Oryzias latipes: one gene and its partner. The protein of the gene in region 1 binds, or shares a complex with, the protein of each later gene. Links are inferred from orthologs where the notes say so. Each region holds a gene or a part of one and is shown in the gene's direction. Other genes may lie near its edges.

Region 1 (12,519 bases):
TGTTCCTGTCACACACCTCATATTTTACTGGGTGGGTCACTGCTCTTACAAAGTATGGCCTCAACAGACACTTGAGTTGAATTATTGTTTGCAAGTGGAAACTTAGCCAGATAATCTTCCTGCTTCTAGCTCAGGGCAGACCACTGTCTCATTGGCTAACCATTGCCTTTATGCACACACAACTTTCATTTTACCATTTTTATTTTCTCGGGGTTAACTTGCTTTACATTAACTCCTTGTGTGTGCTTTTTTTCTCCTCCTGACTCTTTCCTGTCTCAATTTTTTTTTGCACTTCTTTCACAACAACTTTATTCTACAGGCCATTCACCTCCCCAAGGCTGTCCTTACCAGTGCCATGCAGTAAATTCCAGGGTAGTAGGAAACACAAACATGCACAAGATCCGAAGGGGAGCGGCTCAACCATGATAGAGCTCTCCTAGCTGCCACCTCCCCTTTCCCCTCCACCACTCTCTCTGCTTTCATTCATACAAGGAGTCTTTGTCTGGGCAACTGATGTCGGAGGTCACTTCATAGATTTTCTACTTGCACCATAGGTGTAATTCGTGTCTGTTTCTGGCTGTTTTGCCAGTCAGCATGGTCTGAATGTTAATCGTATAATTGGGGTCTCCTTCAATAGACACAAACCAGTGTTTGGACAGGAGGAAAAGTGTGATTACTGTAATTTTTGGTTAGACTAACACCATATTAAAAGGGTTTATTATAATGCTCAAGACCCATCCTTAATATAAATCTTTGTCTGATTTGATATATATAATTATTGCCTTGTCTGAGAAACTAGTTCAGTGTTATAGGACAGCCCTCATCGTATTGAACGACCCAGGTAAAATACTGGTAGATATTTTTATTTTTTATTGTAAAAACAGCTTTCTTGAAAATCTGCAACATTGTTTTTTTCCTTTTCCTCTTTAAAAGGAGGAAGCTTTCCTCCTCCTCCCCGACATGCACCGTTCCTCGTCAAAGCTTACAAATGTGCTGAGCCAGAGGAAAATTTGATGACTGTTCAGAAAGCAAAGTAGTGACAGAAAAAAATCCAATGACCAAAGGAAGCCATATAGTCATACAACACGTCCTCACTGATAGGGATGTGGTTGTCAGCTGACTGCGGCATCTTTATGCTCACTTTTTCCACTTGCCTCTTCTCTAGAGACACATGATCCCCAAGAGCGCACTAAGCCTTTTCCATCACAGCCATGTTTGTTTTTTAAAAATGTTGAGGAAATAACTGATGATCTGTTTTTTCCTTTTCTGTTCCTGTTGGATTTTCTTTGTCAATTGCCCAAATTTCTTTACACTATTAAGAAGTGAGAGAAGATGGAGCAACAAAGTTCTTATGAGAACTGCAGACACACTCAAGCCATCAGTTGTAAGAAACTTCTCAACTGAACCTGCAATTATTTGTCAAGCCGTCTTGGGTAGTTCTCTACCCCTGCAATTAAAGCTCTATGGTGGGATAACATGCATGCACACAATCAGTGTCTTGTGTGCCAAAAAAAAACACATTTCTATTATGGTTTTAAAAGCTTACAGCCTTTTTTAAAACTAATAATAAGGATGTGTTTTATAAGTTACCCTATGGGTAGCATCCCTTTTTTTCCCCATGGAGTTTGTCATGCTTCGCCATTTCTGCTCCCTCAGATTTTGTGAACAACACATTAGCATACACAAAGGCTAATGACACTTGACATTTACTTTAGTTCACAAGACGCTCCAGAGCATCTGGCAGATTTCCACAGAGAAACTGACTCAACAGTAAGATTCAGACGACGAGCTAAGGGGAAAATGACTGGTGTCAGCGATTTGAAACCTCAACAAGGATCTCAGACTTTTCAAGTGCTCACTTACAATAATTTAAGTTCTTCTGCTGTTATTAGTTTGTAGACATTACTCCCTCACCGTCTGGATAGATCCATTTGGTCTTAGCTATTTCTGTTCCATTTATTTGGCAGTTGACATTCACAACTCAAGACTAACGAGGCTCTAAACTGGGGCAAAAAGAGTAAGTTCTTTTAATTTTTAAAAAAATAGGCAATCATCAGATTTAGTACAAGAGAAACGCATTTTTCACTAAAAATATTCTTGGTATTTTAATTTAACTTTAGCTTGCAATAAAATGTGAAGCTTCAATTTGTGGTTTGGGGATTGAAATATAATGGCATTGTTTCATTTTTGGATTGCAGTTAAATATTATACAGTTGATCATAAAATGTTAACAATGTTATGTCAATAAAAGATAATGCTGTAAACAGGAAAACATTTCTTACTCAGCTAGCTTTGTGATGATATTCTATAATTTAAAGACACATTATAGGTTAAGTATACTCTTTAATTAACTCAACTTTTTTTCAAAAGTCTAATTATTCAAATCAAAAATGGAGTAAAACTACTACATTAATGCGTTGGTTTTTTGTGGAATAACTACTTCATATTTGATACCATATTTAAATTCTAAAATGTCTGGTCAGGAATTGCTTTTCTGTACATTCTTTATTTTCTGCATGGCTTTTGTGCTCCTTAAAAAGTGATACAGGAGGAGAAATGATGCATGAATTGGCAGGCTGACCAGTGTTATATTAGAGAGACATCTGCTCACTGTTGGCCTGGGCTAAGCTCCACAGGCTCCACACAGGAAGACACCAAAAACCACTGATAGTGAAGCAAAAAAGAAAGAAAAAAAGCACTCTCATTTCTGAGTTCTGATGCATATGGAGGCTTGTTATACAAGTGACTGACAACTTCAGCATGTAAACTGTTACAGCTCAATTTAGAGGTTTTGGGGAGCTGTTCTGCCATAAAATGGTAAAGGTGTATACAAAGTCAAAATTGTCTACCAATTACTAATGTGTGGGTTTTAACCTTCTTACAAGACAGCTATAGGAGGAGTTTATGTCTGCAGTCAAAAGCGAAGCGAAAAAAAACTTCACAAATTATCTGGAAAACTGTGGTCCACCACCATGCCTTATCTTTCTTTTGTAGAGTTGGGAGTTACTAGATGTAACTTAAACACTCAACTCTGTGGCTGACGTGTTGCACAAGTAAACTTGCAAAACCAATAGAATTTTTTTTTCCTCCAGTCATTTTAATTTCTTATTTTTCACAACTTTTCCTCCTGGGTGCGTCATTTGACATTTTACAAATTACATTTTAATTGCATATAAACTATTTTGTTTTTTTCCCCGTTTGGAAATCTGCAAATAAACTTCTTTTTTTGTGCACTTTGGTCTATTTTGTTAATGATAAATCCCATTATGTCAAAGCAGACGAAATTACACCAAAGTTTGACCTCAGTTGATTTCTGTGTATCATCTACCAATTCTTTGGATTAAAAAAAAATAATAGAAAAGATCTCCTATCAGTTTGGTTAATCTGTTGGATATTTGGTATTAACCTTGGGATAAAGAAATGCATGTTAATAAATTGATTTGTTTCCCCTGGCTCTTGCAGAAGTTTAGTTTTTTTAGATGCATAGATAATACTTTTAGCTACACTAATATGTGTTGGATCGTTGCTCAATGCTGCGTTCAGTGAAGCACTGCTGTCCCCCTGACAGGGTGACTGCAGAAACCGCGACCTCTCAACAGTACTAAAGAATCGCAAATAATGCAGGCATTGAATCCAGAGAGGGGGGAAAAAACGCGCAACGTCATGGAAAGAATGACGTCGGGCTTGATTGGACACTGAGGGAAGTGCTGTGGTGCTTTGGCGATCACGCAACCAGACCGCAGAAGCAGATCAGTGATGTTTCGATGCTTTCTTTTCATCCCATGACGGGGAGTACTGTTCAGTAATCCTGTTATTATAAAGCGACACGAGAGAGAAGAGGGAATACGAGGGGATCGTGACGTAGCTGTTTCCATAGGCGACTCATATGCTGGCTGGGCCAATGGGAATCCACAACAGCGGTTCATACCCATCCTCTATTCGACGCTCATCACATGTCCCAGTAGGTGTTGCGACATAAAGAGAGTAGGCGTGGCAAGATGATACATCTCGGTGTACTTCCGCTTTAGACTGAATCTTTCTGTCTTTTAAATTTAAATTATTTCATTTTATTAAACGCCAAAAATATGTGTTTTTATTAGTAATTCTATGAATTTATATGTAGGTAACGCGTTTCATATATATATATATATATGAAAATTCACTTCCATCTATCTCTGCAAATTGACCGGACTTCAAGCTGAGGGTTTCCGGCGTAAACGTGATTGGGAGGGAACCATCTTGACATTAGAGACAAGACACTTTGGTTGTGACTGTGACAGCGCAGTAGGCGGGATTTCACCTCAAACCAGAGGAGAGAGTCTAGTCTTCGGTGAGACTGAGGGGGAGTTAATGAGAGAGGGACCTGGGTTGCTCTTCGGAGTGGAGTAAGTAATTTTTGTTATATATTAGATGAATGTGTGTATTTTTTTTCAATGAATATTTATTTTAACTGGTTCGGGTGACGAATCGCTCCTAGACATGTGGCGTCTTCAGGTATTTTGGACATTGCATGTACAGCCCTGACCGGTTAAATCTTTTTATTTTCGTGTGCAGATATCAATGCGGGCCATTCTCCGGTGCTGCATTGTGCCTTGTTAGCTGCCATACACCAAGCTAACACAGCGCTAGCTACTGAGATATCTAGGGTTAAGATACTGACGTTAGGCGTTCCATTTTCCAACCAGCGTATCTAATCTTTTAGGATGCTCCCAGTTATGGTTTTCTGGTGCTTATGGCAACTTCTGCTGTTGTTGTAAAACGAGTTGTTTGATTTGTCAGTCTGTTGAAATACGCCGTTTTTCTTATTTTCCTCTCTTTTCATTTCCCACTCTTTACACCCAACGTAAGCTAAGGGACACGAGCTAGGCGGCTAACAGTGGTCATTAATACTATTACTACAGAACGATTTTTTTAATGTTAGTAAATTGACATTTAGCCCTAAATGATTTTTTTAAGCGTTGCCCTCCATATCGTTCCATGAGTTACCCGTATGTTACAGGAAATTTTGAGTTCCATGTTGCTCGTCTACCTGCATGGCATAAATCCGTCGGAAACTAATTTTCTACGATTATAGATAATAGCAAGCGATAGACGTCAGAGGCGGGGGGGGACGCTTAAAAATGGTCGGAAACGATATTCTCGGGACTCCACGCCTCGGTCGGCTGTCGCCTCGCCGAGCGCCGTGAAGGCACATTATTATTAACGAAAGTCCTTTCAGCTGTAAGTCACTTAACGGCGGACGCAAAACCATGTTTTTGTGTAAGTAAGTACATTTATTATTCCCTCTTGCGCCGGGGAATCTAACAACGCCACCCACTCGTACTTCACGACAGTCGTTTCTTTTTTCTCCGTCCATCCGTGTCATCTCTTCTGTTCGTTATTTTTACCGTTAACTTTATTTATCTACTCGTAGACAGTTAGTCGGCGCTTTTGTTTTTCGACTACGTTTACATTTCATTCGGTAACTGGAATCCAAGCAAACCCATTTAAGAAGTACCTCTATTTTTTCGATGTGTATATTATATATATATTTCTATCGGTGGTAGTAGACATTGACAATAGTTCAAACGGCACTCTTTCGTTATATTACTATCCATGTAACACAGCTTTGCACGCAAGCGGTTATCATGTTGATGTGAGAGCACCTTTCGGTGTTTAGACCAAGGGATCACTCTTGATCCAATTAAAAGCACCGGGTCGCGGCAGCACCAGCCCTGTATTCGTGGGGTTTGTGGAGGAAATCGTGTTCCTGTATGTCATTCCAAGACATACCAATCTAAAAGCAAGGTTAAAAAAAAAAAATGGGCACAAGCCCAAAGGGAATTCAATGATTCAAGCTGTGCAAGTCGTTTTTGTGTGCTGTGTTGCGTGTGTTTGACTCAATGAAATGACAGCTAAGCAATTTCTTGGGCTATTGATAAGTTGCAGCAGAGTACATGATGTCAAAGACTTTAAAAAAACAAAAATCCAAATTCTGTTTGATATTACGTTTAAATCCATATGCTGCTGCAAAATACTTTATTTTTAGTCAACTCGATAATTGACTCAATTAAGAAAGCGAGATTAAATGTTAAAAATATTAGCAGACGGTTTGATGTTAATATTCCTCGTGAAAATTATTTAACCTTTTTATATTTTCGCGGCTACATGGGTTTTCTGCTAATCCATCATTTTGTCTGTTGATTGTCATTGCAGGAAGGTTTTGAGAAGTCACAGAGCAGTCGTTATTTAGGGGGGTGTTAGGGGGAGGACTATGGAGTTCACTTTCCATCACATACTTCTCTCTTGTCTAGCAGCTGTTAGGGGAACTTGCTCTTGAGATGGGAGGAGAGTTGACACGTTTTTTTTTATTGCAGTGCCCTGCTCTTCAGCATCTGTTCAAACTGTTAACAATACCCCAATGTCAAGATTATATCCACCAGTCTGTTCTTTTTTTAAAAGAAGGGGACAGCATGCAGCCTTATTCTGAGAACGTGGTCAGAGTAGGTCTAAGCTAACAGCAAGTCATATGTAAACTAACACCAAAAGCTAAATGTGATCTGTTGTTGTACCATGATGTGATCTCATGTACTCAAGAAGGTTTTTTTTGTTCTCTTATTCTGTGACTGTAAGTGTTATTCCTTTACAGTTACCGGTATTCCAAGCAGTTGTAATGTACTGCTGTGTTTCTCAGTGTATGTGGGGGGATCCCCCATTTCTTCTAATCTTTTCAAACGTTATTGCAATAAAAATATAGTTTAGTATTCAGTTACCTATAACCTTTTGTGGAATTAAGCAGTTGTGATGGTAGTAGTAAGGGTATATGATCATTTAAAATCCTAACTTGGAAAAAAAGAACATTGATCATTTATGATAGTGAGCCTAATCAGTTTTTAAAGGGACTTTTTAATTCATGTTTTTTTTTCATTCACCTTCCTATTGGATCAATTATTTTTTAATGCAACTCAATTTGAAACTCTAGTTTTTCTGTGCATAATTATTCCCACTTTACTTTCATAAGTTTGCCTGTATTTAATTTCATATTCAGCAGTCTTTAGACATCTTTAAAAGTCAAAGCTATTATGGAACTGGTATAGAAAAATATAGAAGAGATTAATCATATCTAGTTAACTGCCTATATAAGGGTACGTCTGCTTTATTATTGTTGATATTTTTCCTTGCACGAAAAGAAAACTAACTGCAGGCAGGATGAAGGTGTTGACAATGCGCCTCAGATTTTTTGACACCTCTGAGTTCTTATGACCTGGCAGTCTGACAGGGTTTGTGAGGATAGTGTAGTGGTTATCATGCAAAGCAAAGTAGCTCTTATGGTAGTAGTAGTAGTAAGCTGTGGTCCATAAAGATGGCTGGGTGTCTATGCCTTTGTACCCTCCACATTTACATGGTCTGACCCAGTTCAGCTATGGCAGGCTGCAGGGGGTGGAGGCAGTCTGTGGGAAGCTAAAAATACCACCTATTGCATTAGGCAGAGGGAACCCTAGAATTGCTATCTCCAACTTGTATAGAGCTGTTGGCACACCGAGGTGTTCAAATTGCCAAAGGGTTTCCTTAGACCTGTCACAAAGTCAGAAGCATGTTTTTTTCTGGTTACTTTTTATGCCGCATCCTGTGGGTGGAGGTGTTCTTGAGTGGCAGACGTTAGATTCTAGTCTTGTGCTGCCTGGTTAGAAAAAGGGACTTGCAAGTTTGCGTTTCTCGGGTTCAATTTGTTTAAATGTTTACAAGGCTGTGTCTTTGTGTGTAGTGTGGAAAGGGTCAACTATACCCACTGTCATTCAACCATATCACACAACAGCTGTTGACTTGGAGATCCAATCACAATGATTTTCCACTGTTGTGACATGTGACCTCCCCAACCTTAAACTGACACTGCACAGCAAATGTTGGCACTTCCTTTTCTTCTTTTAGGTGTTGCAACTTGCAGGTTAGAGAGTGTATTTAAGGGAGGTTTTTAACAGAAGAACTAGAGATAGGTGACCTCAAAGAATTGGATTTAGTATCATAAGCTGTATCTTTGTACTTCAGATTAAAGAGTAACATTCCCATTAAAAGGATGTCTGTCGAATGCAGTGATATGATTTAGAATGAAAATGTTTTTATTGCATGCAGGGTGAAATGTTATTTGCTAAATTTCTTTTTTACCCTATATTCATTTTGTGCACAAATTGTCCTGCAAGAAACTCAAACATTGACAACCCTGAGTGTCTACATTCCAAGTTAATCTCTCTGAACTGACTATCAGTCCTTGCCAGAAGTGTTTTCGTGTGAAACTCAGAGAAATTAGGCTGGATATCAAGCTTGTTCATTTTTAAGCACCAACCAAAATGCTGGAATACTGTCAGGTATTGAAAGACATTTTTTTTAACTCAATACCACATTTTAATACTTGCGGTAATCATTTTGCCAGTGTCAGTCGTCTAGTAAACACAGCATACTTGATCTAGATGATGTTCAGCCACAGCAAACCTCACATATACCAATTTATTTAGTAATGCTTGAACTTTCTGAAAACTAAATTTTTGTGTTATCATTTTGCTCCTGTTTTTTTTTTTTTGATTTTAAGATGATAAACATAGAGTTAACACGTACAACAACAAATAATGTATGAATTGTAATATCTTGCATTGATCTTTGCAAATATTGAATATGCTGATATTTTCAAACACATTAGCTGTTAAAGACATTTAAACCCTTTAAAGTCTCACTCCAACCATCTTTAGACCACAGTTCCCAGTGGTCTATTATTTATGATTATGGAATTTTTAGCCAAAATAAAAAAACCTGTTATTTCTAGGACATCGTTTCTGTGGAGAGCAGCAGTAAAGGCCCGTACACACCGGGACGAATATTCGCCAGGCGTTATTCGCCAGCGTTTTTCGCCACGTTTTTTGTGTTCACGCCCAGGCGATTTTCGCTGACGATGAGCCGAGCGAACATGCAATTTCATTCCCTGACATTAGATGGCGCTTAATGTAAACAGAAATACTCCTGTACACAAGGTGGCGCTGCGCAACTTTACGCTTCTTAAAGTCGCTTTTCACTCAGAAGAAGAGAGCAAGTATTTACGCGCTTGTCAGAATCAAACAAAGAAAACATGAATATTTCAAGCACCAGTAGCTCCAACTGGTGCTTGGTTCGGGGATATTTTAGAATGCCCGTCATTATTTCTTCGCGGCAGTGTAGACGCTACTTGGCGTCTATCTTCTTCGCTGGTATGTGTGCTCAGCAAGGCAGTTTTGTGTTTGAGGGCCCCCAAGTTGTGTTTTACTGTAACTTCAGAAGCTCCAGACTTGTGTGCAAAAGCGCCATTCTCATTGGTCGAATAGATTTCGACGCGAGGCGTCAAAAAAAAAAAACAAACCCGAGGCGTTTTTTTTTTTTTTTGACGCGTGGCGTTTTTTCGCGTCGGTGTGCACACTCTCATTGGTGCCCTTTGTTTAGTCACGAGGCGTTAAACGTCGGCGAAAATCGCCGGCGAAATTCGTCCCGGTGTGAACGGGCCCTTATACATTAAAAGTCCGTCTAACTTGTGGGCGGAACTCTTGGATTGGCGAAATTTTCCCATCATCCCTCTGTTTACATGCTCTCCCCCTAGCTAACAGCCCCTCACAACCCCAACCTATCATTACCAGTGCAACAAAAAGGGTGAGCAATATATGAGCTATCTAGCTGTACAGTTTTGAGCCAAATGCCAGCTCAGACATTGAAAACAAAGACATAAATGGATCTAGTCGTCCTCAAGTGGGTGCATCAGAATGGAGCAGAGCAGGAAGACTGTGGCCCACTGAGTATAGCACCTACATCACAGCTACAAACTTTTTTTCAATTGCATTTTTTGTCTAGTCCCAATTCACCATGATTCATATATGGAAATACTCATAATTGCAAATTTACGCTTACATTTCTTTATATATTTCCTCCATCATCAGAGAAATGCCACAAGAACATGTTAAAAACACCAAAAACAATATTTTCATCTGAGTGGGTCTTTATACCATTGTTTAGGTACAGCACCAATTCAAAATAAGTGTAAAAAAAACGGGTTATTTCACTATTTAATTAATTACATTACTGAATCATAACTAGGCAAAACTGAATGGCCTTTTAAGAATGCAAAATGCAGTAAATTTAATCCCACTTGAATGACATTTAGTCTCATGCTTTAGTTCATTTGCTAGTGTGGATCATCACCTTTAATGCTGCAGTTTATGAGATGAACGTGCCACAGACCAGTTCAATGACCTTGTAGTAGTGTCCAGCTGTGAGGCTGGAAGGTCGTGAGTTCATATTCAGACTGAGTCATACCAAACACTCTGAAAAATGGGAGCCAGTACCTCCCTGTGTGACACTCAGCATAAAGGGGTTGGATTGGGAGGATAAACCCCCAAATGGTTTCAGAGCGCGGCTCCGTCTGCTGCTCACCGCTCCCCCAGGGAGAGGAGTTAAATGCACCTAAGTGCGAGATAAGTAATGGGACTTTAACTTTAACGCATATCAAAAAGTTTCTCTAATTTCCAAAATTACTTGTCAATGCTTTATAAACAGGCCTTTTTTGCAAGGTGCAATCACAGGTTTGAAATGATTACAAATTCAGTATTGGAAAATCTAATATGAAACTACATTCTTATGGATTACTTTCTGTAACTATTGTGGGTTTCTCTGTTTGTAACTAAGAGTGCCAAAAAAAAAATGCTATGTGTATGTTTAACCATCGTTAAAGATAAGACTGAGAGGTGTTCTGATGAAGTTTTTAAATTTTTAAATGCTTTTTTTACCCAGTTGCAGTTATGCACAGTTAATTTCTTTCGAGTAGATTGGCAGCTTCGTTAAAGTTTATCTCTGGAGGATTACAGACAATACTGTTTGGAAATGGGCTCATAATTCTTGCCAAATTAATAGGCAATAACCACTTTCTCTGCAGTGTCATTACTAACATCGTTATAGTCCATGGTTAGGCACTTGGAGATACTCAAGTGTTGATTAAACTTTACTAAAATGAACTGTATTGTATAGTTATGATAGTTGTGTATATATATGTGTAGTGTTGCAATGCTTTGTTAGGTCAGTATAGCTTTGTCACCTCGTGGTCACATCTCTAAGATCAGTTAGCTAGCTTCCAGGAAGGAGGCCTAGAGAAAGACCAAAGAGGAGTTAATGGATGTAGTGAAGGAGGACATACGTGCAGTTGGTGAGAGTGAGGAGGATGCAAAGATTAGAAATGGATGGAGAGAACACCGAAAAGATGATGCAGACGTGAATTTGTCAGGGTTTGTTCACAAGGGCTTATTACATCCAGAAAACTGAATTGATTCTATTTATGTTTTTAACACAAATTATGATTTAAATTTTCAAATTTCCTTTCTAAGCATGTTTTGGGACAGTTTTCATTTAAGAACTTAAAATGAATGAGTTTGTAACTTTCTCTTATGATATAAGAAACTTGTCTACAGTCATTTTTTATTTATTTAGCATATTAACCACATGACGTGCCCATTTATGGGCAAATTCAACACAAAGTCATACATTTCATATTATTCTGTTTAGTGTGTATTATTATTATTATTTGTGAGTATATTTATATTTTAATTGGTAAATTGTAACATTTAAAGTCCCACTCTAATCATTTTTATTTATATTTTATAAAAGTGTTCCCAGTGATCTGTCATGGGGGGACAGCTGCTGCGGAAGTAAGCTTCCGTTGATATCCTATCATTCAGTTGTTTACACTCTCCCCTGCTATTTTACAGCCCCTAAAACTCCAAGCTAACATAAGTTGTGCCACAAAAATGGTGAGAATTATGGTAGCCATCAAGCCATGCAGTTCTGAGCCAAATGCCAGCTCGGAGGAAAACGGAGACGTACATGGATCCATTTGTCTGCATTAGAATGGAGCGGAGCAGGGAGACCTCTACCTGCCTATTTCACTTGCTCAGCTGCGTTACAAAAGAAAGCTTTACAAATGGCTTTTTTTATCTGCTCCTGATTCATCCAAATTTAAATAAAGAAAGTATTTAAGCAGTTTTAATCTTAAATTCTTCTATATCCCCCATCATGAGAAAAATGCTACAAGAACATGTTAAAAAAACCCAAAAACACAATGTTCATTGGAGTGGGTCTTCAAGTAATACGAAAATTTGACTCTCACCAAAAACATGGTTAATAGTTTGCAAAGGCAACTTCGTTATGCACCTTGTGATCTACATTTAGATTTAGAAACACAACTTGCCTTTTAAGTCCCTCTATTAACACAGTCATGCTGTGTAGATGCCTTGCTACTATGATGCAAAATCATTTTTACCTGGCCATAATGGATAAATCAGGCTTATTGTTCTGGACTGATTAAAGCTCAGTAGATAGCTGCTTCTCCATGACGAGCACCATGGAGCTCCCTCATGCCGCAGTCCTAATTAGATTAAACTGAGGGCTTTTCCTGGGGCAATCAGTCAGTTGGTCTTTGTTCTCCTTGTTTCCTCACCAATTACCCTACAGTGAGTTGGTGGCAATTTCTGCCCTCTGATT
Region 2 (12,326 bases), on another chromosome or scaffold:
CATCTGCTTTTCTGCCTGTAGCGGAGGCCTCATTTCCTGTCGTTCTAGACAGGCTCGGCTGTGGCTTCCTGTTATTGCTCAGCGCTCAGTGCAGGCTGCATTCTGCAGCACCGAGGTAAAAAGGTCAAACTTAAGGTCAATATTAAGACTGCATGTGAAAGTAAACATTAATACGTCAAATGCAATAAAAGATTAAAACAGTAAGCATACATTTCTTCATTAGTCTCCATTTAAAATGTGGCACACCGTAAGGAACGCGTTATCTTGTCCTAAAAAGGCTTTTGGGGATTTGAACACATCCAATGTCACACAGAAAGAATAGACCAACAAGCCAGGTGTTATAATGGGCTCTAAAGCTGAAATCATTTTGTTCTGTGGGCTGTAATGTTTGTTTCTTGTGTGATTTTTGCGTTGTTGTTTGGACAGCTCAATATTTCCTCAATGTGACACACAACTGCATTTACTTCCACTTTTATTTTAGTCCAGAAATCTGAACTGATTGTTTGATCAATTAAAAAGTTTCTCTTTGAGTCCTGTGATTTTTTTTTCCAGCAGGGATACAGACTGATTTGAACAGCATGAAATTAATTAAGTAATTTTACACGCAAAAAGCATCCTGTTCTCCAAGATTAAAAGCAGAAGCTCATTTCAGAAACTGGGAAAAATTTTACAACCCTCCCCAAAAATAAAAAACCCACACAAAATGGCTTTTTGAGCAGAAACAATAAACCACAAAGGCCCTTAAAAATTAATATACAGGGGTGTAGCGATTCATTTTTACAATTCGATTCCTATCATAATTTGAAGTTGTCTCTATGATTCATATCGATATTGGTTTTATGTGAGCAATCAGATTCGCTGACCTAAAACGGATCCACAACGTCCTCAGCCAAGAATTCAACCGGCGTCACTCAGAATACCTGGGTGCTGAAAAGTGCAGGTGAATTTTTCCAGATTCCTTGTGTTTCTTGCAAGACAATCTAGTGTCAATTAAATTTGTGTACAAACAAATAAATTAACGAGAATGAATATCAAATCCATTCACCTTTTAGTGTCCTGAAAGTTCAGCCCACTGTTCTTTTTCCACATCAAAATAATACTAACAGAACATTATTAGAACATTCTACCACACTGTCTGTTCACATGTCTTTGAAGAATTCCAACTTTCCACACTGGAATGATGGACAGGTTTTACTGCCATTACATGGTAAAATAAAACTACTGTGCCTCCTTCCAAATAATAGTTTCCAATATTGATTAAAATCAATTCATTTCATTTTGTAACAATTTTTTATAGGTCGATTTGACCTACTTGCCTCAGACAGATGGATCTGGTTGGATTATAGGAATATAAATCAATTCACCCATTCAGTCGATACATTGTTACACCCTAAAATCAAGGAGTTAAAAGGGCATACATAACCTATATAACATCTGAGAGGAATGTGGATAAGTGTGATGAAGATGAGATCCTTATAGTAACATCAAAACCAAACCCTAAGAAGAACCATAAAAGAATAGAATAGAATAATAGACAATTGTCAGAGTTTTGCTCAAATAAATAATTTGTTTTATTAGAAAACAATGATTAAAAAATGATTAGTTTAAAAACAATCAGGTTTAAACCTACAGTAGTATATACTTTTTAAAGTTGTTTTCAGATATGAAACATGTCATGTTCTCAGTCCTGCACACATACATCAGATCACTGCTTTAGTTAAAGTACCAGCAGAAAAGGTGAGACACTGCACCATGCAGAAGCTTCATTCTGTGTGCATTTTTCTTTTTTTTTCGGTGAAAACACATCAAACAAAACGCTTTCATCTCAACCATAAACAATATTACTTAACTAATAATAAAGCAATAATAGTAAAATTCATATAGATTTCACAAAAGCACAAATCAAATTAAAACATAAAACAAATTTAAAGTAAAGAAAAATATTCCAAAAAGGAGTCACAGTTTGAAATGTAAATGTGGATGTAAGGTAATAATAAGCTATACCCTCCTTTAAGACTAGCACAATATAAACAGGATTATACACTATTTTCTCGTTTAAAAAAAAAAAAAAAAAAGAACGTTTTAATTTGAAGAGTTCCCCCCATTTTTAACACTGTTTAACAACAAGTGGCTGTAAGCATAATGATATGTAAAACCACACCTTTATACATATAAGTCACAGGATAACCACCAGACATCTGCAGGGTCTGGAGACCAAACAGACAGGTAACCTGCTCAAATTCTCAAGAATAAAAACAACACTTTGCATGGCATTATATGAAAAGAAACACACACACACACACACACACACACATGCAAAATCCAGTCCATTTGTGGTAGCTAGAAGGCTCCAGGGACAGAAGGGCAGGTGTAGTGGGTGGCGTCAGTCCTCTCATGATGTTCTGTTCTGTAGAGAGCTCATTCTGATCCCAGTGAGGTTGGCTACTTCTGCATCCTGCATCTCCACCTGTTGCTGGCAGCTCTCTCTGATGAGGTACACTAGAAGACCCACGCAGATGCAAATGAGGAGGACTATGCCTATAACCTGGATGCAAAGACAGCGGAGGTTTAATGTTTGAACAAAGGACGATCACGACATCACCACAACAGGAGCAACTCACCTGAGAAAAGACAAACAGCTGCTGGGAGCGGACCATGAGCTCCTGAGCGGTGACATCCCCCTCTTTAACTGGCTCGCACCACTTCTGTGGAGCTGCCTTGTCAACAAGCACATATCTGCCCTCCCAGTCTGTCATAGCACACGCAAAGTATTGACCGTCCAGGAACAGCAGGATGAGCCACACGACTGCCGGAACAAAGCTGGAGAGGGAAATGGTCTTTCTGCACCAGACAGCACACCTGCATCCCTGAATGATCAGCATCAAGGTGAAGGCCATGACGGCAGGAATGATGAAGAATGCGGATGAAAAAGCTCCGTTCCACGCAGGTCTGCAAGGACACTCAAACTCCAGCTCCACCAGCTTCTCTAGTCCCATGAGGATGAAGCCAAAAGCCACATTTGACACCAGAGGACTGTTGCTAAGTTCATTTTTCAGCCTGGCAAGCCATTGTTGTCTACTTTCCATACTAGATTGACCAAAGAATGGAGGCAAACACTGTAAAAAACCCAAATGGGGGTCCAGCGTTGTGAACACATTGGCAACAGCTAAGTGATGCGTACTTAACGCATCCAGGGGTAAGTTTTCCCCTCAGGCAAAATGCCACACTTCAACTCTGATTGGGTTCGAACAAAGGAGGGTGTGCCGACTGTGCTGACATTTCTCCAGCTGATTGGCTTGTGTGAGGTTTCAGGTGGGGGTTACATTTCAAATGTGATGTGCTGTGAACAAACTGGAGGGCGGGCTGTAAAGTGGAGGGAACTTTACTCTGCAGCTGAGCAAAGGCGGACACTAACAGCCCAAAGAAAGATTTCATGCGTTTTTATATTCTCCAGAGCTGCAACTTTCTTGTTATTTTAAGGAATTAGACTTTTAAGAGAAACATAAGCTTCTAATTTTTTCAAAAACAATTTTTTATTTAAAAAAGTATTTTGGAAACTGTGTTTTAAACATGAAACAGAAGTCTTCTGTACCTTTTCGTATATTTCTTCAAAGTAAGACTTTGGCAAAAGTGAAAAATGACACATGCTCGGGCTTTACCCAAATGGGCCGCATGAGGGCGCACACGGAGCAGCGCAGATTAAGGGCAGGAGGGGATTATGGGAGGCCATGTTGAACTTTCAAGGGGGGATGTGGCACATGCAGTCTGAGAGCACCCGGGCCACTGATGAGATGACATAATTTATAAATGACCTTAGTGCGCTCAAGAGCATCCGCATCCTGGCAGAGAAAGATGGTAAATTATAAGGAAAGCAAGAAACAGATTAAAAAAATGATGCAGCCTGTAATAATAGGGACAGAACAGGTAGTTTATCGTTGTTTTTCTGTTTTAAAATTACACCACTCCTATTGTGAATTTTTGAAAAGCTGTATAGTTTCATACAGTTTTAATTTTCCATAAATCTGACAGACTAAGGCTGCTCCAAGTGGTAAACTGATACATTTTTAAAATTACAATACCAATTGATGTAATTTCTTGCTAAAATACACACAGACACATATCAAGGGTCGGACGGAGGCTTTATTCTGGTGAGCTGTTGTGCTCATCCTCATCCTCGGCCATGCGCGCACTGGGCAGGCGCGGCTTGTCGTCGCTCCCGTTGGTGTCCTACCAGCATCTGTTCCTCCTTTGGTATTAAAAATAGACCGCTGCTGATAACAGACTTATGTTTCGGCTACATCACTTGCCGGCGGGAGTCATTTGTGCACTACTTTCATTTTAATCACCGAACCGTGACCGTGGGAGCGTAAATGCGCATCCGTGCGCGCATCTCGGAATCTTTTCAATCCCACCGTGGACAATCCCCTTGACATCCAAAGACCCTTCCTCCGCAATCCGACGAGGCTTCTTCGCCACCTATGGCCGCAAATCGGCTTCCATGAGCCGCCGGCCTCCTCCCGAACTGCTTTCCTTTAAGGTTTTAAAATCGAGGAGGCATTTCTACTGGATTTTTTTGTATTTTCTAAACCATCTGCGCGGACTCATTTGAAAGCTATGCTTGGCACATCTCTCTAGATCTTGTGATCAATAGCCTCCGCGGTATCTCCTCCCACATTCGTCCTGCCGAGGAGCTGCGTCTCCCGCGGAGCTCCAGCGATGCAGCCGAACGCAGTGATGCTGGCGGTGGTCCTTCTGGGGAACTTGATGCTGCCTTTCGCCTCGTCCCAGAACGGTAAGGACGCAGATCTGGCGCAATTGTTACTGTTGCTGAAAGTGGCTTGTAGGAGGAGTAAAAGATTGACAAGGCTTTTTTTTAGGGGAATTTTTGCATCTCAACAGAGATAACCCAAGAGTTAGTATCCCTTTATCACTGAAAAGGGTTGGGTTCATGCTTGAAGAATGATCTGGCAGGTGGACAACAGCCAGGCGTTCTTCTTGGGACAAATCTGGACTTTGTGGGTTTTGTAGTAATACGTGCACATTTTCCCAAAATGAAATAGAAGTATGCCATTATTTTCAGTCAAAATAAAACAAAAAATACCTCTGTTTACTTAGAAAGTCGCTCATTCTTCCATATTTTTTGCAAATTAGGCCATTTGTTACCAAAACAAATCAAGGCTGCACATATGCTGGATGTTAAAGATGTGTGCATTTCCAAAGTTCACCATCAGTTGATCATAATAAAAGTGGATAATTTCAGTTTAAGGAAATGTCAGGGCTGGCTGCTGGCTGTCCTCTGATACAGCATGTCCCGACATGAAATTAGTTTAACCAGCCAGGTCAACAGCCTTTCTAATTTTATGCCTTTTCTGAGAGAATTTCTTGCATTTCGAATTCAAAGTTTTTCTTTACCGTTTTTGACAATGCAATTACTGACTTTTTGTAAAGGAGCTGCCCACACGTCAAAACCCACATGTTAACTAAACAGTGTCACTGAGTTAGTCTAATCCTCTTTCACAGGAAAAAAAAAATTAGGAAAAAAAACTTGGAATCTGACAGCTTAATGCCCACTCTGTCCTTTCTGTGTGGGATAAATGGACTCCCACTATGAACGACTTAATGAGATCTGTGTTTTCATGATAGGTTGAGAAAAATTCAAGTGTAGTGCCTCGTGCGGATTTACGTTTCCAGCTGATATAAATGCCTCCTGCCGATTACAGCACTTTTTTGGTCAAACAAAGTATTCTAACATTGCAGAGACAATCACGATGAAACAATCACTTTCCATTAAATCAGAAAGAAATGCTCCATCTCCAGCTGGTGGAGAGACAAACAAACTAACACTTCACAGCAGTTATATAAACAAGTACTTCTTGTAGCTGTTTGCATCTTTGTTGGTAATTTCTCTATAGTGTGCTTTCACATACTGTTTCTTTGCTGTTTTGAAAAATTTAATGTCAAATTGGCTCTGCATTGGTTATAAAGCTCAAGCAAACACTTCTAGTGGTCCTTGGCCAGGATTAATGTCCTGTCCCTGAGGGCCAGTTCTCACAACAGACACACACACATACTCATAAGCCCATTGTGTGGTCACTGAGAAGCAGTCTGGTGCTACCCAGTCACACAATCTGCAACCATTTCATCAACCATTGTCAGTCTGCTAATGTACGCTTCATTAATTGCAGCTCTGAAACGAGGGGTAACAGTGTTTAGGGCTGAGCTTTCTTCCAATCGCATCCAAAAGCCAGAATAACTGCTGCATCCCATCTTATGCAATGCTCGATTTCCCAGAGATATGGCGGGGATGTGGGGACAAAAATAATTATAAGTGCATGAGATTTAATCACTGTCTCCGAAGCCGAGGGAATCTGTGTCATCCCTTCCTCTTGTTCCGGAAAAGTAGGGACACCATAGGTGGCCAGTTGAGCAAGAGATATTTGGAGGACTGTGAATTGCATCCGTTCCATTCTGCAGGGTTTCTATTTTTACCACAGAGATGGAGAAGTGAGAACTGTGGCTTTAAGGTCCTTTTGTGAAAGTGAATCCATTAACTCTTAATAGCCGGCCTCCTTGTGCACAGCTGTGCAGCCCCCCAAGAATCACTGGGTGGTTGTAAACTGTTCAAATTGAGACATAATGTGATGTTAAAAGAAAATAAAGCTTGTTGAGGAGATGGTCAGAGCTGACCTGGACCATTACCTTTGGGACTCACATTACTTCCTCCTGTTAAGCATGTTGCCTTCTGTTTGTTTTTTTTGTCCCTCTCTGCATATATAAGCATGCGTTAAAAAAGTAAATGTGCGATTTTTTATCGCCACAAGCCCCATATCCAGCTATATTTTTATCAAACATGTTTACAGCAAGGTCAACATGAATATATTTGGAGTAAGGCCGATACTCGATTTGACTGCTGTCACAAACAAAACAAACTAAAACAGCTAAAAACTGCAGGTTTGACTGTGTTAACTCATCTCAGTGACCAAGTTAAAGTCCCATTCCGATCATCTTTTGATCAATTTTCAAAGCATTCCCAGTGGACTTTTAATTATAGAGCAGAATACCTGTGTTGTTTTCTTGGACATAGTTTCTGCAGAGCGGCAGAGGTTCATTTGAGATTCGGCTCTGAGTTGTGGGTGGGACCCTTGTTGTGGAGTAAGTCTGGTCCATATCCTATAATCCATCTGTTTACACACTCTCCCATTAGCTTACAGCCCTTCACAACCTCAACCTATCATCAGCTTTGTACTAAAATGGCAAGCAATTTTGGAGCTATCCAGCTGTACAGTTTGGAGCCAGATGCCAGCTCAGAAGAGGAAAACAAAGATGTGCATGGATCTATTTATCTTCAGTGCATTGGCATGGAGCGGAGCAGGGAGCTAGTGGCTTGGTGTTGTAGGCTTCTGCAACACACCTTCAAGCCTTTTCAAACAGTATTTTTTTGTCTGCTCCTGATTCACAATGATTTGAATAAAGAAATATTTAGGAAAGCAATTTTAGACTTGCTCCATCAAAAGAAAATGCCACAAGAAAATGTTAAAAAAAATACCATTTTCGTTGGAGTGGGTCTTTAATGTAAAGACCAAAGAAGAAGTCTCTGTAATTTAATTAATCTTTGTCAGAATCATACATCAGAAAATGTTTAGGTTGTAAAAAAGATCTGCAGAATGAATTAACCTAAATTGAATTAATTACCATTACAGTTTATTTTTTTATTATTTTAATTGAACAGCTTCTTGAAAGTTAATTTTAACAGAACTTAAAACTGGTTCAGTGTGAACATAGACAGAAACCAATATCACAGTGTAAAAAAACAACTCTTTGCTGCCATGTCTAAACCAGTCCCCAAGCCTGGTACAGCAGAACGGCCATTATCATGTTTCAGGCAGGCTCGGACAAAGGTTCATTTGCGAGTCTGGAAAATAAACGTCAGAACTTGAGCCAAACTCTTACACTGAGTCATGCTTGCCCACTGTGAAATCTAATATGGCCTTCTCTGATTAGAAGCAGGATGGAAATCACTGCAGAGATATTTCATACTGATGCAGAAAGAAGGTCTAAACATTGATCGATTTTAATAGAGATTATATTATTTTTTTGGAAGGGAGGGGCTGTTTTTATACGTTTTTTCAGGGTACAACTTTTTAACAGATGACTTTAAATACGTACTATTTCCTTTGCATTTTTAATAGATTGAATGAATTATTGAATTTTGGCCCTTAAAGAATATAGTTACAAAATTTTGTATTTTCCTCTAAAATGATAAAGTTAAATTTAGCATAATGTTAAGGAATAATCGTTATCGCTTCTTCGTTGTGTGATAAATCACACTTTTTAATTTTTCTGTTGTTTCTATAGACTTCTCAGGTAAGAAACATTTCTCAGGCCTCAGCTTCATCTGAAGAACCACACACTGACCTAGAAAAGAGTAATAGAAAGTGTTTGCTGGTGTGATTAAAAGATGGGATTAGACAATTTCTAGCCCACACAGGGGTTATTGGGATTTAAATCTAATTTGCTCTACTCATCTGAGGAACAGGCAAAAATATTACCAGCAAAATAAAGCTGGTGACTTTAATGCCCCTCTCCTCTTAAAAACGGACCTTTTTATACTGTCTTATGCAGTGACATGTTTTGGATTTACCTAAGCCTTGATTAAAAGCAGGAAAAACCTAACTATAGACATGTTAAGGATTTGTGGATGTACGAATTAGTCATTGCAAAACTAATCATTGATTTTTCTAGATCAGGAGTTTGAATAAATTAGATATTTTTCTATTTTTGCTTCAATGAAATTCTGAAAAGACAAACCTAAGCTCTGGTAAAACCATGAGAAAAAATGTTTATCTTGAATTTTTGGGTAAAGAATTACGAGATCTCCATACTCATCAGAAAAAGAAAAACCTTGAGACTCAGAAAAGTCTGTACTTGAATTGTAAATGTCACCACAGCAGATGCAAGGCAGCAACAACAGTTGTCTTCCTCAATAGTATTAATGTGCAAAGAGAAAATAAACTATGGGCAACTATAGGAATGGGATTAAATACATTTTTTTCGTCCGACTGCCTTTCAAGCAACAATCAAACTCCACTTGACATATGATGAAATTTAGAGAATCGTATGTAGCGTTTATGCATTACTGCAAAAATGTCTATTCATGGTAAAGAAGACTGTCATCTTCTTCCATCTTTGTTAATTTTTCTTTATTTTCTTTAATTAAATGTATTACATAATATCCGAAAATAGTTTAAAATAATCCATGTTTTGTATTTTTTTATTGTGTGATTCTGTTATTTTCAATGCTTAAAGTTAACCTATAAATCGAATCAAATCAAATTATGTATGTCAACAGGAGTGCTGTTTAAACTCAACACGTGCCAACCAAGTGAAATGAAAGTAGCAAAGATAACAATTACTACATTACTGGAAAGGTACAACATAGTGGCTGCAATTAGACGGCTGGAGAAACTGATTAACATCCCCCTTTCAACATCAACTACTGTTTAAAGAGCTTTTATTGTTAACCCTTGTGCTATCCTAGGCACTTTAACATTGGGAGTTGGGTCATCTAGACCCACTAGACAGTGCTCTGAACCCTTTTTCTTCAATGATTTGTGATCTTCACTGGTGTCCATGGATTACATGAAATCTTTCCACCTTTATCCACCTTAGTCATGGTAGGAAGAACACGTCAATGTAAGGGTGGGGTCATCTAAGATAGCACAAGGGTTAGAATGAACATCCTGCAGCCGAAAATGTAGAAAATGCAGACATGGCCAAAGCCCATTGTGCTGGTACTAAGTCCGGATAAATGCAGAGAGATGTATCAAGAAGGGCATCCGACGTATAATCTTTGCCAAACCAAAAATGCAAATCAGACCTATGTAAAGCTGATTTGCTGTGGTGACCCCTGAAGGGAAAATCCAAAAGGCTAAGAAGATCCTGCAGCAAACCTAAGAGGTTTATTAGAGGAAAATGAGTTCACAAAAATCTCCATTGTCTTTTGTGGAATTTGTTCAGGTCAAATTCAAATCATCATGATGAAATTATGTGGTTTTATTCAGGTTTTTGTTAATACCGGATGTTTGATGTGTATAATGTGCACATTTCTAGTAACATTCAAGTCTCTGGATAAAGCTGATTTCTTTCACTTTTACTGAACAGGAAACTTAACTCTTTTATTCAGGGTTAAAGATGTAAAAAAGCTGGTGTATGGTTGTTATCGGAAAAAAGAATGTTGATTTCTTTAACCTGCTTTCTCCTTCTGGGTGTCTTAGAAGGGCACAGGTGTTTAACAAAGAAAAGGAGCTGCTGGATGAGACAGGATGCGGGCTAGGTGGAGCCGTACAGACGTGTCCTTATTATATCAGTACATTTTAAATGAAGAAAAGAGGTCCACAGAGAAATCCCCATAAGTCACATCACACCTTTTTTTTTTATTCATGCAGCTTTGTTTTCGTGACCTCTTTTATTGGATGTTTCAGTGAGATGGCACTGTTGTGAGACACACCTTTTCACCCGAAGAGGCAATTTTAAAGACCCATTGTAATGAGTGCTTTTGGGTGTTTTTAACATGTTCTTCTGGCATTTTTCTGATGATGGAGGACATATATAGAGAAAATTAATTTTATCATTGCATTTCTGTGTGTTTCTTTATTCAAATCGCTGTGAATCAAGAGCAGACATTGGACAAAGCTTGTAGGTGTGATGGACAAGTTACTACCATTCTGATGCATCTTTTTGTTCACCAGTAATGTTTGGGATTGTGAGGAGCTGTAAGATAGTGGATGAAGTAGGCGGACTTACTCCATGCCAACAGTCCTGCTCAATACTCAGAGGCGAATTTGTAATGAATTTCCTGCTGTCCTGCAGAAACAATGTCCTAGAAAACAGTACAGGTGTTTTATAGTTGGCTAAAAAATGGCATAATCGTAATAAAATACCACTGGGAACGCTTTTAGAATAGATCAAAAGATAATCGGGACTTTAAGGATGTTTATGAGGTGCTATACATTTCTCCTAGTTTTACGTTCTTGACTAAGTTTGTTTCACTGCATAAAGTTTTTATAAAACCAAGATATCTTTTTTCTAAAGTAAGATGAAAATAGAAATCACATTAGTAATCGGTTCCACAGTTGATGATTTCCAGAAATCAGGTTTTGTGAATGCAACTAGTTCCTAGTTCTAGAAACCTAGTGTGGCCATGTAAACTCCTGAGCTTGCTAAACTAGGTGTTGCTTACTCAGTGCTACAACTAACTGTCACTGAGCCATTGAAGCCAGTGAAAAACATAAGCCATTAAAAATAATGGTTTCCAGAGCACAGCTTTGCAGATACTTCTGCCTGCAGTACCACACAAGCCTGCCTGCTGTGGGCCTGCAGCTTTGGACACCTAATGACACTTGAGCCTTCACATTGACAATAATCAAACTTGTCTGCTCATATGTTACAAAGGGACATGCAAACTGCAGCAAGCACTTTAAGGAGACAAAATGAAGTCGCCTTTCAGCTTTTTTTTTCATTCCTTCTTGCTAGAATCTGGAGTGGTACCTATTTTTGGCTCAACATCTTGTCATGATTTTAATGCATAATGAGAGCTATATTAAGTGGAGTCTATAGTGCTAAACCTTACATTTTATTTCGAAACTTCACTTATTGAATGAGATGCACTTTATTAAAAAAAGCATCTTAGTGCTCTGCAAACACTAAACAGTTATATGTTAATAAACGCGGGGTTTGACTGAGGATGGGTTTAAATCAATGATTTGATTGAATAGACTTAAAAGATGACTATAGTCTGAATTTTATGGAACGTTTTTCTTCATTGTCACTACTTGCCAAAAAAACAGCTAAATTGGTCATTTTAAAAGAAGACTGAACAGTTTGGACGATTTTTAACAATTTTATTAATTCAAGTTCAACAGTTAAGCCCACAATTCTGGCTGCTCAGCAGAAACTATGTCCTAGAAAATGACAGGTTTTTTTTTTGTGGCTAAAAACAGCGTATTCAAAATAGGACCACAGGAACACTTTGAAAATATATCAATTGATGATCAGAGTGGGACTTAAATGGACAAATTCTATTTTATCTAACATATACATGTGGTAAGAATACGACAAAATAATGCTTGAGTTGATATTCTGTTTTCTTTTCTCTGCCATTTGCCCAAACAATAAAATGTGCATACAGTTAAATAGGGGGGCATTTACTCGTCATTGGCAGTAGCAGAGACTTGTGTTGGTCAGGGAGATTTTCTGAAACTACACCACCTTTGGCACTCTTCTAATCTTGTTAACACGGATACTGTTTCCGAGTACGTCTGACCTTA

What was found.
Region 2: the proteins of atp2b1 (region 1) and neuroplastin are in contact, whole or in part, in a cryo-EM structure (PDB 6A69), measured with the Homo sapiens proteins. The link is inferred for Oryzias latipes from reciprocal best matches to the Homo sapiens genes ATP2B1 and NPTN. Residues at the interface, in NP_001353449.1 of Homo sapiens: Phe954, Asp955, Ile956, Asp957, Glu996, Arg997, Asn998, Val999, Glu1039, Gln1040, Leu1042, Trp1043, Ile1045, Phe1046, Met1049, Gly1050, Leu1052, Leu1053, Gln1056; in NP_036560.1 of Homo sapiens: Arg245, Ser246, Asn248, Arg332, Arg334, Pro339, Pro342, Phe343, Gly345, Ile346, Glu349, Ile350, Ile352, Leu353, Ile356, Ile357, Tyr360.

Annotation. Positions count from the first base shown.
Region 1 is NC_019881.2:15,511,367-15,523,885, reverse strand, and holds the start of atp2b1 (plasma membrane calcium-transporting ATPase 1), read left to right. Parts: upstream 1-4,253; 5' UTR 4,254-4,385; intron 4,386-12,519. UniProt on the Homo sapiens protein: Catalyzes the hydrolysis of ATP coupled with the transport of calcium from the cytoplasm to the extracellular space thereby maintaining intracellular calcium homeostasis.
Region 2 is NC_019861.2:28,364,961-28,377,286, forward strand, and holds the start of neuroplastin, read left to right. Parts: upstream 1-4,172; 5' UTR 4,173-4,716; coding exon 4,717-4,792; intron 4,793-12,326. Other genes in the region: calcium homeostasis modulator protein 6, read right to left, coding at 2,393-2,545, 2,622-3,086. UniProt on the Homo sapiens protein: Probable homophilic and heterophilic cell adhesion molecule involved in long term potentiation at hippocampal excitatory synapses through activation of p38MAPK. May also regulate neurite outgrowth by activating the FGFR1 signaling pathway.